3 linked regions of the Oryzias latipes genome follow. The protein of the gene in region 2 interacts with the protein of the main gene of each other region in a pairwise test. Links are inferred from orthologs where the notes say so. Each region holds a gene or a part of one and is shown on either strand. Other genes may lie near its edges. The genes, in order: rchy1, gorab and scyl1.

Evidence for each region.
Region 1: the proteins of gorab (region 2) and rchy1 interact in a two-hybrid assay, tested with the Homo sapiens proteins (3 studies listed by BioGRID and IntAct). The link is inferred for Oryzias latipes from reciprocal best matches to the Homo sapiens genes GORAB and RCHY1.
Region 3: the proteins of gorab (region 2) and scyl1 interact in a two-hybrid assay, tested with the Homo sapiens proteins (2 studies listed by BioGRID and IntAct). The link is inferred for Oryzias latipes from reciprocal best matches to the Homo sapiens genes GORAB and SCYL1.

Annotation. Positions count from the first base shown.
Region 1 is NC_019867.2:25,260,707-25,264,356, forward strand, and holds part of rchy1 (RING finger and CHY zinc finger domain-containing protein 1), read left to right. Parts: intron 1-2,759; coding exon 2,760-2,880; intron 2,881-3,143; coding exon 3,144-3,308; 3' UTR 3,309-3,650. UniProt on the Homo sapiens protein: E3 ubiquitin-protein ligase that mediates ubiquitination of target proteins, including p53/TP53, TP73, HDAC1 and CDKN1B. Mediates ubiquitination and degradation of p53/TP53; preferentially acts on tetrameric p53/TP53.
Region 2 is NC_019862.2:23,368,694-23,372,876, forward strand, and holds the start of gorab (RAB6-interacting golgin), read right to left. Parts: upstream 2,910-4,183; 5' UTR 2,735-2,909; coding exon 2,680-2,734; intron 2,600-2,679; coding exon 2,257-2,599; intron 1,590-2,256; coding exon 1,488-1,589; intron 1,386-1,487; coding exon 1,245-1,385; intron 1-1,244.
Region 3 is NC_019868.2:12,321,596-12,326,025, forward strand, and holds the start of scyl1 (N-terminal kinase-like protein), read left to right. Parts: upstream 1-1,616; 5' UTR 1,617-1,746; coding exon 1,747-1,854; intron 1,855-2,430; coding exon 2,431-2,571; intron 2,572-4,208; coding exon 4,209-4,331; intron 4,332-4,416; coding exon 4,417-4,430. UniProt on the Homo sapiens protein: Regulates COPI-mediated retrograde protein traffic at the interface between the Golgi apparatus and the endoplasmic reticulum. Involved in the maintenance of the Golgi apparatus morphology.

The sequences.
Region 1 (3,650 bases), on a different chromosome or scaffold from region 2:
TTAAGGACAACTCCAACTGTTGTCCTTCAGTCTTGCTGCAGATTCACCTTCATCTCACAGACCCCCCCCCCCCCCCCCCCCCCCCCCCGCCTGGTCTCCCCAACAATCCAGGCGAGGTGCCGGTTCATCTCAAACACGTCTATCGTTGCATTTTCACCACGTATTTTCAGTGTGTCTAAAACTAATGTTGTTTTTGCTCGAGCGTGTTTAAAGTTCAAGCCCCGTTAGCTGTCACGCATGTACGTGAGGGACATTTATTCTCCTCAGCTGACCCGACTCCCGCGGGACGGGAGCGGTGTGCTGCCGTAACCCGTAAGATGCGCCGCCGTAACCAAAACCTAAACCTTACTACGGGTCTGTGTGACCCAGAGAAAAGTTCAGCACGGACTGCATGTATTTAGAAAATTACGAGCGAATAGATACGTTCTAAAAAGGAAAGTAAGGAACCCTCAAGAGTCATTTATTCCACTGTGATTGGTTGGACATCTCCGTGCACGACGATGAAAAAGTGTCATTCATACAAACTGGCGGGCTGCAGTAACATTAAACTTTCATACTAAGGCGCAAAATATCATCTTGGAGAGCGCAAATAGCCCGCGGGCCGCGAATTTGAGACCCCTGTCACTTGTACACTAGCCGCAGGTCGGAAGAATGAATCAATAGTTCACTTACTCATAGCTCAGACGCACATATCAGGTTGTGATGATATTTGTCTGTTTCCTTCCCACAGATGTTTACGCGCGCTCGATTATCTCTAGGCCCCGCCCCCTCCACGCATTTTAGCCACTGTAAGTGGCTTTCCCTTTCTTTTCACACGCAGTGGCCGACTCACAGACAGGAATCACTCAATGAAACGCGAGTGTGTGCTCGCGTTTTAATGAGTATGTGCGCGAGTGTGTAGGTCTGCCTGCGTGCGTGTGCGCTCGCGTCTCATTGATTATTTCATTGATCATTGACGTGCCCCTTCTACGTTTGATGTATAAAAAAATGGAGGGTGGGGGAGGCAAATTTACTGGTAGCACATGTGCGACTGGATGTAAAATTCAGTCGCACAATCTCAAATTTTGGTCGCAAAATGCGACCAATTGGTCGCAGTCTGGAGCCCTGCAAGATATTCCTTTATGTAAAAGACGCCCATAAAAAAACAAACATGCTTTGAGACTTTGCATCTTGAAAATAATCACGGGATCCGTGGCACACGCATGTGCCAAAACGTGGCTAGTGATCTGTACCCCTAATGCACAGTATTCATTATTGCTGATGTCCAGTCAGCAGATATTCATGCATATATTGTCTTTTAACAATGTCCAACATTAAACCGTTTTGTATTCAATAGACATAATTTAACAATTGAGAGCGATTACAAATTGCACGGACTCTAAGCAAAAAAAAAAGGTAGTTCATTTCCAGAAATGCTCTATTTAACAAAAAACTCTAAAAGTGTTAATTAATCAACCAAAGACAGCCTTACTTTGTTCAGCTGTTTTCTAATGCAAACACTGGCTTTTGGTTGTTGCTTTTGCTGCGTGTGCTCATTCTGAATTGAACTTTTATTGTCATTACATGTAAGTTGTTGAGCAATGCTGATGTCATGCTTGGCAAGCAGATGATTTTGGCACAACACCGGGACATTTTGTAACACCGGTTGCTACAGGGAAGCATGTGTAAAAGTTGTGAGGGAGGGGGGCGATTTACAGCAGTGGTCATGATGACAGACACCAGCACTGGTCTGTGGGTCGACTGCTACTGGATCCCAGAGAGAATAAATAATTCACATTATTTCTATTTTCTTTATAATCGGATTCTAACGAATGTTTTATTTTGGAGATTCTCTTGATGCATGTCAGGATGCTGTCCTCACTCGTGTCTTACATAAATCAACCTTCTATTCAAGGTGCTGCTAGTACCACACAATCAACATCATTGATAAACTCACACCCCCAAGCTAGCAAGGTAGACAAAAACGAGCGTCTTCATAAAGAATAGTATATGACTTTAAGGGAGAAGAAAGTTTAACAGACAGAAAACAGGATTTCTACGCAAAATGTGGATTTATTACCACAGTTGTTCCAATACATGTAAACTTGTTCTGCATAATACTCGACGATCGCCTCTCTGTTATAAGGATGCTGCTTAAAAAGTTTAAAACACAGTGAACTTTTATTACATTTAGAAAATACTGCTTTCTAGGTTATCATTTTATTTTTGTTATATTTCTCTTGCGCACCTTAGAGTTTACCACAAACAAATATTGTCTGACATGAAGCTAGTCTGTGGTGTAAAAAAAAATGTTAAAGGGTTGTTTCTTTAAGCTGCAAATGGACCGCTATGCTGAGAGTCTATATGGAGAAGTATGTTGCAGAGACACTGATGTGTTCACCGTCATATAATCAAGTAGCACAAATCAACCAGTTAAAATGTATTGCCAAAAATGAACATATGATTTTTATTTTTTTACATTTCTCATAAAATATTGTCTGTTTCTGTGTATTCTTAATCAAATCTAGTGCTATTGCTTATTTTAAGGCTTCTGTATGTACATTTTTTAAAGACAATTTTAGCTGTGTTCACTAATCTAGTCTTCTGCTCATTAATCAAAAATATTAGCTGCTTGTGAGGAAAGATGTTTTTTTTTCCTTCATCTACAGTCTTAGTAGTAGTAAAATATTAGGATTGATGCTAAGTTTGATCATCTGTATACATCTATGGTGTTGAGTTATTTAAAAGGGTCCTGGCTTCCTGTGCTCTGCATGTTTCAGCGTCCACCGCTGCCCCCTGTGCATGCGGTCTGCTTGGAACCTGGACTACCACTGGAACTTGCTTGACAAAGAGATTGCTCAGACACCGATGCCCTCTGAGTACCAGGATGCCACAGTCCAAGTAAGGCTATGGAAACCCCCTCACTAAATTAGAAAACAAAACTATTTCCATGGACAAATTAGAAAAAAACAAAGGTTGAAAAAAAAAGTAGAGCTTATTTTTGGCACTAAAGCCTCAAAGTTCTCTGCTATGCCTCTGTGGCATCCCAGAGCAAAACTATTTCTCTGCAGAATGAATCAAATATTTAGTTTCTGTCTACTTTTCTAAGTTGCAGAAATGTTTAAGTCAATTCTTTTTTCTTTTTTTTTTCTAAATTTTAATAGGTGATATGTCATGATTGCCAAACCCACTGCACGGTCCCTTTCCATGTGTTGGGGCTGAAGTGCACAGGCTGTGGCTCCTACAACACCGCACAGGACGGAGGGCTAATGTGGCAGCAGGAAGGGCAAAACCTCCAGGATGAAGGAGAACCAGAGCAGCAGGACTAGCCTGGATGACATCTGTCACTCTGGAAATGTATACAAAGTGACACTCTGTTGCTACACCTGTCACCTGTATTTTTTTGACTCGCTCAGAACGCAGACTGAGCCAATGTTTGTCCATAATCCATCTATCTCGTGGACCTGATGTCACTCGTCAGGGCTGGAATCGATCCTAGGATGCAGCTGTCGAGGACACACTGGCCGGTCAGTTGGAGCGCTTCCACACGGACGCAGACAAGTCAGTTTATCTGATCTGCATGCCTTTTAGTCTGTGACAGGGAACCCATGGAGGGATGCTCACAGTACACCAATGCTGCAGTTTAGGTGGAACCCAGGAAATAGTTTGAA
Region 2 (4,183 bases):
CGTAAATACTTGCTCTCTTCTTCTGAGTGAAAAGCGACTTTAAGAAGCGTAAAGTTGCGCAGCGCCACCTTGTGTACAGGAGTATTTCTGTTTACATTAAGCGCCATCTAATATCAGGGAATGAAATTGCATGTTTGCTCGGCTCGTCAGCGAAAATCGCCTGGGTGTGAACACAAAAAACGTGTCGAAAAACGCTGGCGAATAACGCCTGGCGAATATTCGTCCCGGTGTGTACGGGCCTTAAGGTTGTTTTTGCCTTTTTTTTGCCCGTTACAGCCGCAGAAAAACTCTTCAGAAATCAGCACAATCGGTTGTTGTATACAAATAAGTGATCTGGTATTTATTATTATTATTATATTAATCAGTGCTATATATTTCAGGCTTCTTAATAAAAATAAATACTCTTCTAAACGTTTGCGTATCATGAAAGGATCAAAACCTTTTACTGCTGAAAGGTGCAGCAGAATACGGAACTGGTTTGAGCAGGAGGCGCACAAAAAAAGGTTTAGTTAAGTTAGCGAGATATTCCCAGATTCCGATTTCCGGGCTCAAAAATTCTTAATAAATGTTAAAAACTGACAGCAAGTGTTTTCTATTGGTTTGTCTTAACGCAAACAACAAAAGAACTGAGAATTAAACAGAGACGACTCCCAAGGGACCATCCACAAGCTCCAGAAAAAGTGATAAAAAAAAAAATCAATAATGTCTCAAAAACAATCAAAACTAAAAAATGACGCCATGGCTAATCATTATCATCATATTTAAGTGTCAAAAACGATTTAAAAAAAGAAAATCTTCATACATTTTTAACAGAAATGAATCACATTTGATAAAAAAATGTTACTAAAACTACAGTCACCACACTTTTACACATGACAATTATCACCTATTTTTTATAGTTAAATATTTGTTTCTAGTTGATAGTTGGACTATTTTGTACTTGATTGGTTACTTTACAGAAGTGCTCTGTTTTAGTGTTCAATGATAGAAGAGCTTTAATAAAATAAAAATGTGGGACAACCTGAATCCGTTTATTAAATTGGTGTATTTATTAAATGTTTCATACAAGTATCTGATTGGGATTCGGTATCGGCAGATACTCAAAATCCAATGACTTGGAATCAGGTCGGGGCCCAATTAATCTGATGGAGACATCCCTAATGTATGTGATGCCCTGAATCGGGAATGTGAAGGTTTGAGGGCAGCAGAAGTGTCCTTTAGGACCTCAGGTGGGTTGTAGGTACCTGGCAGAGCTGTAGTCCCAGCTGGCTTGCTCGATCTTCCCCCTGAGGATGCCGATGTCATTGGACACCATGTCGTCGAGCGCCTGCAGCTCCTTCTGAATCCTCTTTAGCTTCACGGCCTCAGCTTGAGTCTGTTTGGATCTGCAGTAGATGGCGAACAAGCGCAAGTTTGCTTCAGATCATGGCAAATCTTTTTTGTTTTGTTTGACACTAAAATGTTTAAGTGAAATAAACGTTGCTCACTTCTCAGCAATAGTTTTTGCCAGCAGAGCTTTTTTACGTTTGTTCTTCTCTTCGATGAGCTTTTGATCCTGCTGCAGTTGCTCCAGGCGCGTCTTTTCTCGTCTAGAAAAAGACACAAAAAACGTGTCAGAAACTGCAATCAACACAGGAGAAGAGCTGAATCACTATACAAGATAAAATCAATCTCAACGATCCACCGTAAGAGCAATTTCCCTGCATCCTCATTTTCCAAAACATCTGAGGAAGCGTCAAACAGAAAAAACGTGAATATTTTCTAAACGGTTTGTTTAGATTTTTTTTTAAACTGTAAAGAGTGACAATAATTATACAAAAACCCGTAATATTTTTTGCCCTTTGCTATAGAATTGTCCACAAATTTTTCATGAAAGTGTGATCAAGCTGATCAGTGTGAAAAGACTTTATGTAAAAGATGTTGATCTGTGCCAGAAATCTTAGGAGTTCCTCCAGGAATTCTTTATCATCAGATTTCAGCTTTTATTTTGGTAAACTCACATTCGTGTTGGCGGTTAGTGCATTTACCAAAGCCCCTGATCTGCAACATGTAAAGTCCCACTCCGATCATCTTTTGATCTACTGTAAAAGTGTTCCCAGTGGTCTTTTAATTGTGATTATGCTGTTTTTAGCCAAAATCGTGTCGTTTTTTAGGACATAGTTTCTGCAACAGTAGTTCATTAGAAATATGTCTCCGAGTTGTGGCTGCAACAAAAAAAGTTGTCATGTTGGTGCAGGAACAAAAAGTCGTACTAACACTTCTGCCTCCTGTTGCTCCAGCTCTTTGACTGCTGGGGTCTCCTCCTCTGCAGTCACGTGATGGTTCTCATCATGAGGTTGGATTGCAGCGGCTTTATTCGGACCGTCCGGTCTGACGGCAGGAGCAGCAGCAGCAGAAGGTCCTGACCCGGCGGCGGGCTGAACCTCCTCTTTTGGAGGCGGCTGTTGGAGCTTCTGCTCCGCCGGAAGGGCAGCGGTTCCAGCCTGAGTGCTCTTCTGAACGGACAGTTGCAGGAGCCTCTCACGTTGCAGCTGCTGTCGACTCCGGCTGGAGGAAGGCGTCTTCCGAGCGGGGCCGGCTGCTGCGGCTTTGGCCGAGTCTGGGAATGAAATGAATGCCGGTTTGGTGAATGGAGTTCAGGAAGAACCGGCTCTGCCTTCGCCGTATTAATACCGCTACCTTTCTGCTGCATCCTCCGCAGCTCCTCATCGGAGAATCCCGCCCAGCTGCTCATTTTGGATCCTCACACATTAAAGAAGCCAGCGAGGGAGAGAATGTGTAATAAAGTTCGGTAAAAACCCGAAATTCTGACCAAAATTTACAGAAACTCCTGAAGAGTCTGCCATGATTGTTTATGAATGCCACGTCAAGGACCCTAACAGGATTGTCTGGATTTACGACCAGAGATTTGCCTGAACAAAAAAAAAAAGCAACATGTATAAATCTAAACGCAGAGGTGAAACGATGTAATTTCCCTATTCAAATGTATATATAAATTAAAATCAAAATAATTAATGCATTTTAAAATCAAAATACATCAATAATAGTGACCACTAATGAACACAAAAATATGGCAATTTTATCAAAGCCTTTCCTAAATAGCCACCGACCTCCTATTTGTTTTTGTTTTTTTCAATAATTCTTTTAAAGAAAGCCTCGCGGGCATTTTCAAACACCATACTAGTAAAACTAGAAAATAAAAAGGGACTCACGTAAATGACAAATATATTCCAAATTTTGTTTAAGTTTTTCTTTTTTTAATGATTCAATTTTACTTTGGAAAGGGAAGGGGCGTGTCAATATGGACTAAGTTTTGTCTCTCTTCTTGTTTGTGAGAAGATCAATATAGACCTTCAATTAGATTTAAATCAAATGAATGCAAAAACAAGAAAAACTATTTCATGCTTGAATTCACATTCATACAATCGAGTTTTAGAGCAATAAAAAAAAAGTATATTAAGAGATTTACAATCGTAAATTTACAAGAAAAAATCTCGTAAAGGTAATGTGCGTTTAAGAACTTGCTAAACACAGTTGTTGAACGCCCACTTAGGCCTTGGTGTTCACACTGGACAAAGGGAGGGGCTTCTTCTTCTCTTTCCACTGTTTACTAGCTAATGTCCACCACCTGCAGGTGGCAGACATGGCTTGGTGCGAAATTTTGAAGCGGTGAAAATCTGATGAATTTTGCTAAAGGCTTTTTTCTTTCACAGCTCTATTCCGATATATTAAACTTGGTGTCATATGATTCCGTTCAAGCTCAAACCACAATTATTTATTTTTCGTTCATGATCAATTTTCAAACGGTTGGCGCTTCTGTGAAATGAAAGGGACGTCATCCATACATCATTACTTTTCCCAAGAAAATATAGATATTCCTGGACTTAATTTTGTTTTTTATTTTAACTATTAAACCATTTTTTTTCGAGGGGGGTTCTGAAAAGAAGAACTTTTTTTTTTATAGAGACAACAGTCCACAGACAGGCTGTCTATGAGAGGCCATATAAAATATAATACATACTTTTTCATGTTTGTAGTACACAGACAAACAGCCTTGTAGTTGACTGTCTGGCTGGAAACCCTCAGATAAATTCTGCTGCCCTTCAGTGGGATGTTGTCTGTGGTTGGAGCTTTCTTCTTTCAAAACAACCCTGTGCAGGCGATTAACAGTGTCACGTGTCAC
Region 3 (4,430 bases), on a different chromosome or scaffold from region 2:
TGTAAAAAAAAAAAAAAAAAAAAACTTATAAATGAAAACTGGTTTGAATTTATTGAGTTTCTCAGATGATCACATGAGAACAAACTTTATTTGAAAGGTTAAATTAGAGCCTCTCAACATACCATTCTATATGTATAACATAAGCTGTCAATAAAGTCACTTAAATGGCATAAGGCAGCTCATGTGACAGTATTTCATCCTCCATCCCTATTAGGCAATTACCTGTAACCCTTCTGTCAATTTGAAAGCAGTGAGAAGAAAAGTGGTTAAGATGAGGCAAAGTTAACCAAGCATTGGTGATTAATTATACTGTTGAGATAAAAACAAAATTCTGACAATGGAAGATGAACTATTGTGCTAGAAGACAAGACAAAACGGAATCAAATGAACTCCAAATGAAGATAAAATGTCAAGGATGAGAAAAGGTAAGCAAAAGGGAGAATATACAAGTGTTTCTTTTGCCTTCTCACAAAAAACCTGACAAAATAAGACGAGACCATTTCTTACTATTAGAAAATGAGTGGATAGCAAACTAGGACATTCAATAAATTCAATATTTTTTCCAGGTAAAAATACTGCTTATAAAATAGATTTGTTTGACTTTTAAATGTGATTTCACTTTTTAAATGTTAATCAAAACATTTGAATTATTAACATTGATGCGGTCTAAAAGTGAATCATTGAAAGAGTTATTCGATGGACATGTTACCCTAGGTAAGGATTTTTTTAAATGGTAAACACAACCACTACAGAGAAACACATCCTATAGCTAAACAAATGACTGAAAAAACAACCCCACAAAGGTTAATAATGTCTAGCAGAAACTGCTTATATTTGACATATTCTTGCATTAGGAGGAACCCAGGGCCAATCACACCAGCATATGGTCTCAAAAGGGGTCTGACAATGCAGTCAGGTAAAGCGTGGACAGCCTTCCAAAGAAATGCCACCTAAAACTATTGACTGTCTGCCAAACCGGACATACTGCAGGCGGCAGAACATTCTCCGTGGCGTCTCCAGGCTCTGTCACATCTGTCACTTGAGTACCGTACACATCTGTGTGGTAACCTTTGTTTACTCTCTGCAGGTCGGTCACTAGGTCCCCCCAAGTATTAATGGGACTTTTGCTCACTATTCTTGTCGTTTTGTATGTCTTCCATTTCCTGATAATTGCTCCCACCAAGCTGCTTACTTGCCTGTTGCAGATTCAGTCTTCACAGCCTGGTGCAGGTCAGCAATTTTGTTTCTGGTGTCCTTGGACAGCTCTTTGGTCTTGGCCAGAGTGGAATTTGGAGTGTGACAGTTTGAGGTTGTGGACAGGTGCCATTGATACAGGTAACGAGTGAAAAACAGAAGGTCCTCTTACAGAAAAAGTTACAGGTCTGTGAGAGACAGGAATCTTGCTTGTTTGTAGGTGACCAAATACTCCACCATAATTTACCAATAAATTCTTTTTAAAAAATCAAACTATGTGATTTCCTGGATTTCCCCACTCATTTTGTTTCTCATAGTTGACGTTTACCTATGATGAAAATTGAAGGCCCCTCTCATCTTTTTAAGTGGGTGAACTTGCACAATTGGTGGCTGACTGAATCCCCCCCCACTGTACAAGACACGACCGACGTCAGCATGCGGAACCAACGCACAGTAACAACGTTTCTTCGGAAGCATTTCCCATCTGCGCTATCCTTAAACCTAGCCGCAGCTTGAAGCTTCCCTCTGCTGTTGTGTGGAGGTAAGGCGAAAATGTGGTCCTTTTTCGCCAGGGATCCAGTCAAAGACTTCGGATATGAAATTCTCCCAGACAGCCCAGAAAGGTCCGGGATTTGGAGTCTACATCGAGGAAAACGGAAGGTGAAAGCGGCTTGACTAATTTTTCGAGAACGAGTTAGCGTTAGCCCCACTGATGCGATGGTGGCCTCTACGAGACACGAATGAAAAATAAGGAAGAATTATAGCGTGCTGCGGGTTTTTAGATGCTATTTGTGTGATATAAGCCATGTGCCTCCCACTCTTGTTCTCAGGTTTTTGTTTTTTGTATATTCTTTTAAGCGGACCTTATTGTTTACACAGACAGTCGCGCATTTCTCGCCACGTCACCCAGTTTTAGCGGAATTAAAACATCTTTTTAATCTGTTAAATTAATATAATAACATCACACATTATGTTGACACGGATTTTTTCTGTGTCGTTTTTAATTAATACAACATAGTGTTAATTTATTGTCAGCAGTTGTGCGATGGTCATCCTTTCAGGAAACAGGATCAGCAGGCGCTCGCGCGTCAACTTCCTCGTCTTAACGTCATCTCGTTTTATGCTGTCATGTTTGACCAAAGAATGTACATAAAGTACCACGTGCGTGGCAGCTGTCAAGCGGATATGGCTTGCTAATAATTTGTTGAACTTGGCTGTCCGGACCTGTTGTCTCAGACCTCTGGAGAGCCCGTGTCCGTGTTCGTGTACGAGGTGTCCCAAGGAACAGAGCAGCAGACGCAGCTCGCCAAGGCGGCCTTCAAACGAATGAAGACTCTGCGGCATCCCAACATTCTGGCTTATGTGGACGGCCTGGAGGTATTCCCTTCAATGGCATGTTCTTGGTTGCTTTTGTTAAGGTGTTCTTTGCCTGTGTTTATCCGTGTACCATCTACTTTTTTCTTCTGCATGCAATGCACATGACTAGATGGAGGTGAGTGAGTGTGAGGAGGTTTGATTATTAGTGTAGTACCACACACACACACACACACACCTATCTAGATGTGATTTAGAGAAACCAATAAAAAGCCGGAAAGATGGTTATAAAAAAAACATTCTGCATAGACTACAATCCCCTTACATTAAAAGTTTTTCATGTCCACTTTATTAGTTTTCATATTGTACAATATTCCTTCTTTGTGTCTGTTGAAACCCAACATAGAGTATGAAACATTTACTGTATATGAGACCTGGACGGAGTATTTCTCCCTGGTGGCGTTCCAAACAGGAAGGACCTGCTCAAACCCCATAGACTTCTATTGAGACATGAACAGCCTTTACTCGATCTTTATATTTGCCAGGTTACATTCTTCTTCAGCCAAGAAGGTGAAACATAAAGAAATAAATGAACCGGACTGGAGGGGATGTGATTCAAGACCCACTCCAATGAAAACTGTGTTTTTAACATGTCAGGACGATGGAGGACATAAATAAATAAATTTAAGGTTAAAATTACATTTCTCAGTATTTCTTTATTCAAATCCCTTTTAATCTGCAGCAGACAATAAACACCTGTTTGAAAAGATTGTATTTGCTACGTAGAAAATACGGTGGGTGGGCCACAAGTTCTCTGCTGCTCCATTCTAATGGATCCACTTGTAGATTAATAGATTCTTATACGTTTTGGTTTTCCTTGTCTGAGCTAGTATCTGGCTCAAAACTGCACGGCTGGACAGCTCCAACATTGCTCACCATTCCTGTTGCATCTTTAATGTCAGGTTGGGGTTGTGAGGGTATGTTGGCTAGCGGAGAGAGTGTAAACAGAGAGCTTGGATGATCCTGTCCACAACTTAGAGGTGAATTTCTAATGAACAACTCCTGCGCTGCAGAAACCAAGGCCCACAACAAAGAGGATGAGAGCTCGGGGTTCACACAAACAGTAGGCAGGCGGATCACCAGAATGGGCGTAACAAAAGCTGCCGCCTTTGCAGAAGCACAACAGTTCTTTTAATCGGTTAAGGATCCATTGTCATGGTCCGACTGCATGGTATCATGTGCGCCAGGCGTAGGAGTCAGGGCCATACACGGTTGCAGCTCCCAGCTTCAATAGATACAGGGAGATGTCTTCACCCCAGCCTCACCTACTTGTGGTTGTTACACCAAGGGCCAGAACAAGAAATGTAGAAAAATATAAAAAAGAAAATTTTTAATTTGTTGAAAACCAAGAACGTGAAAACAAATATTTAAGAATTTTTAGTATCCGCTGTGTTGGTTTTTGCTGTCAATAGGAAGGTAGAGATTTGACGCCTGCAGCTCTGTGTTTTAAGATATATTTTTTCACCTATGTAAGATTAGTTTACTATTATCAATTATTCACAAGCTTCAATCTTGTTTTTAATCCACATTACTGAAGAAAAACCTCGACTCTAATATGGTGAATGTCTGGTAAATGTGTTTCCCAATTTCTCAGTGAGTAGTAAGTCGATTTTTTTTTTTCTTTGTGTTGGTTCTTACAGACAGATAAGAGCCTGTATCTGGTAACTGAGCAGGTCACGCCTCTAGCCGTCCACCTGAAGGCGCAGACAGAAAAAAGTGGTGTTGGGGAGCTGGAAGTGTCCTGGGGTCTGCACCAAATAGTGGTAAGAAAAAGACAACACACCATCAGAAATACATTCTAGCTCAGTTGTAATTTTGCAGTGATTCCTCCCCCTCGTTTCTTCACAGAAAGCACTGAGTTT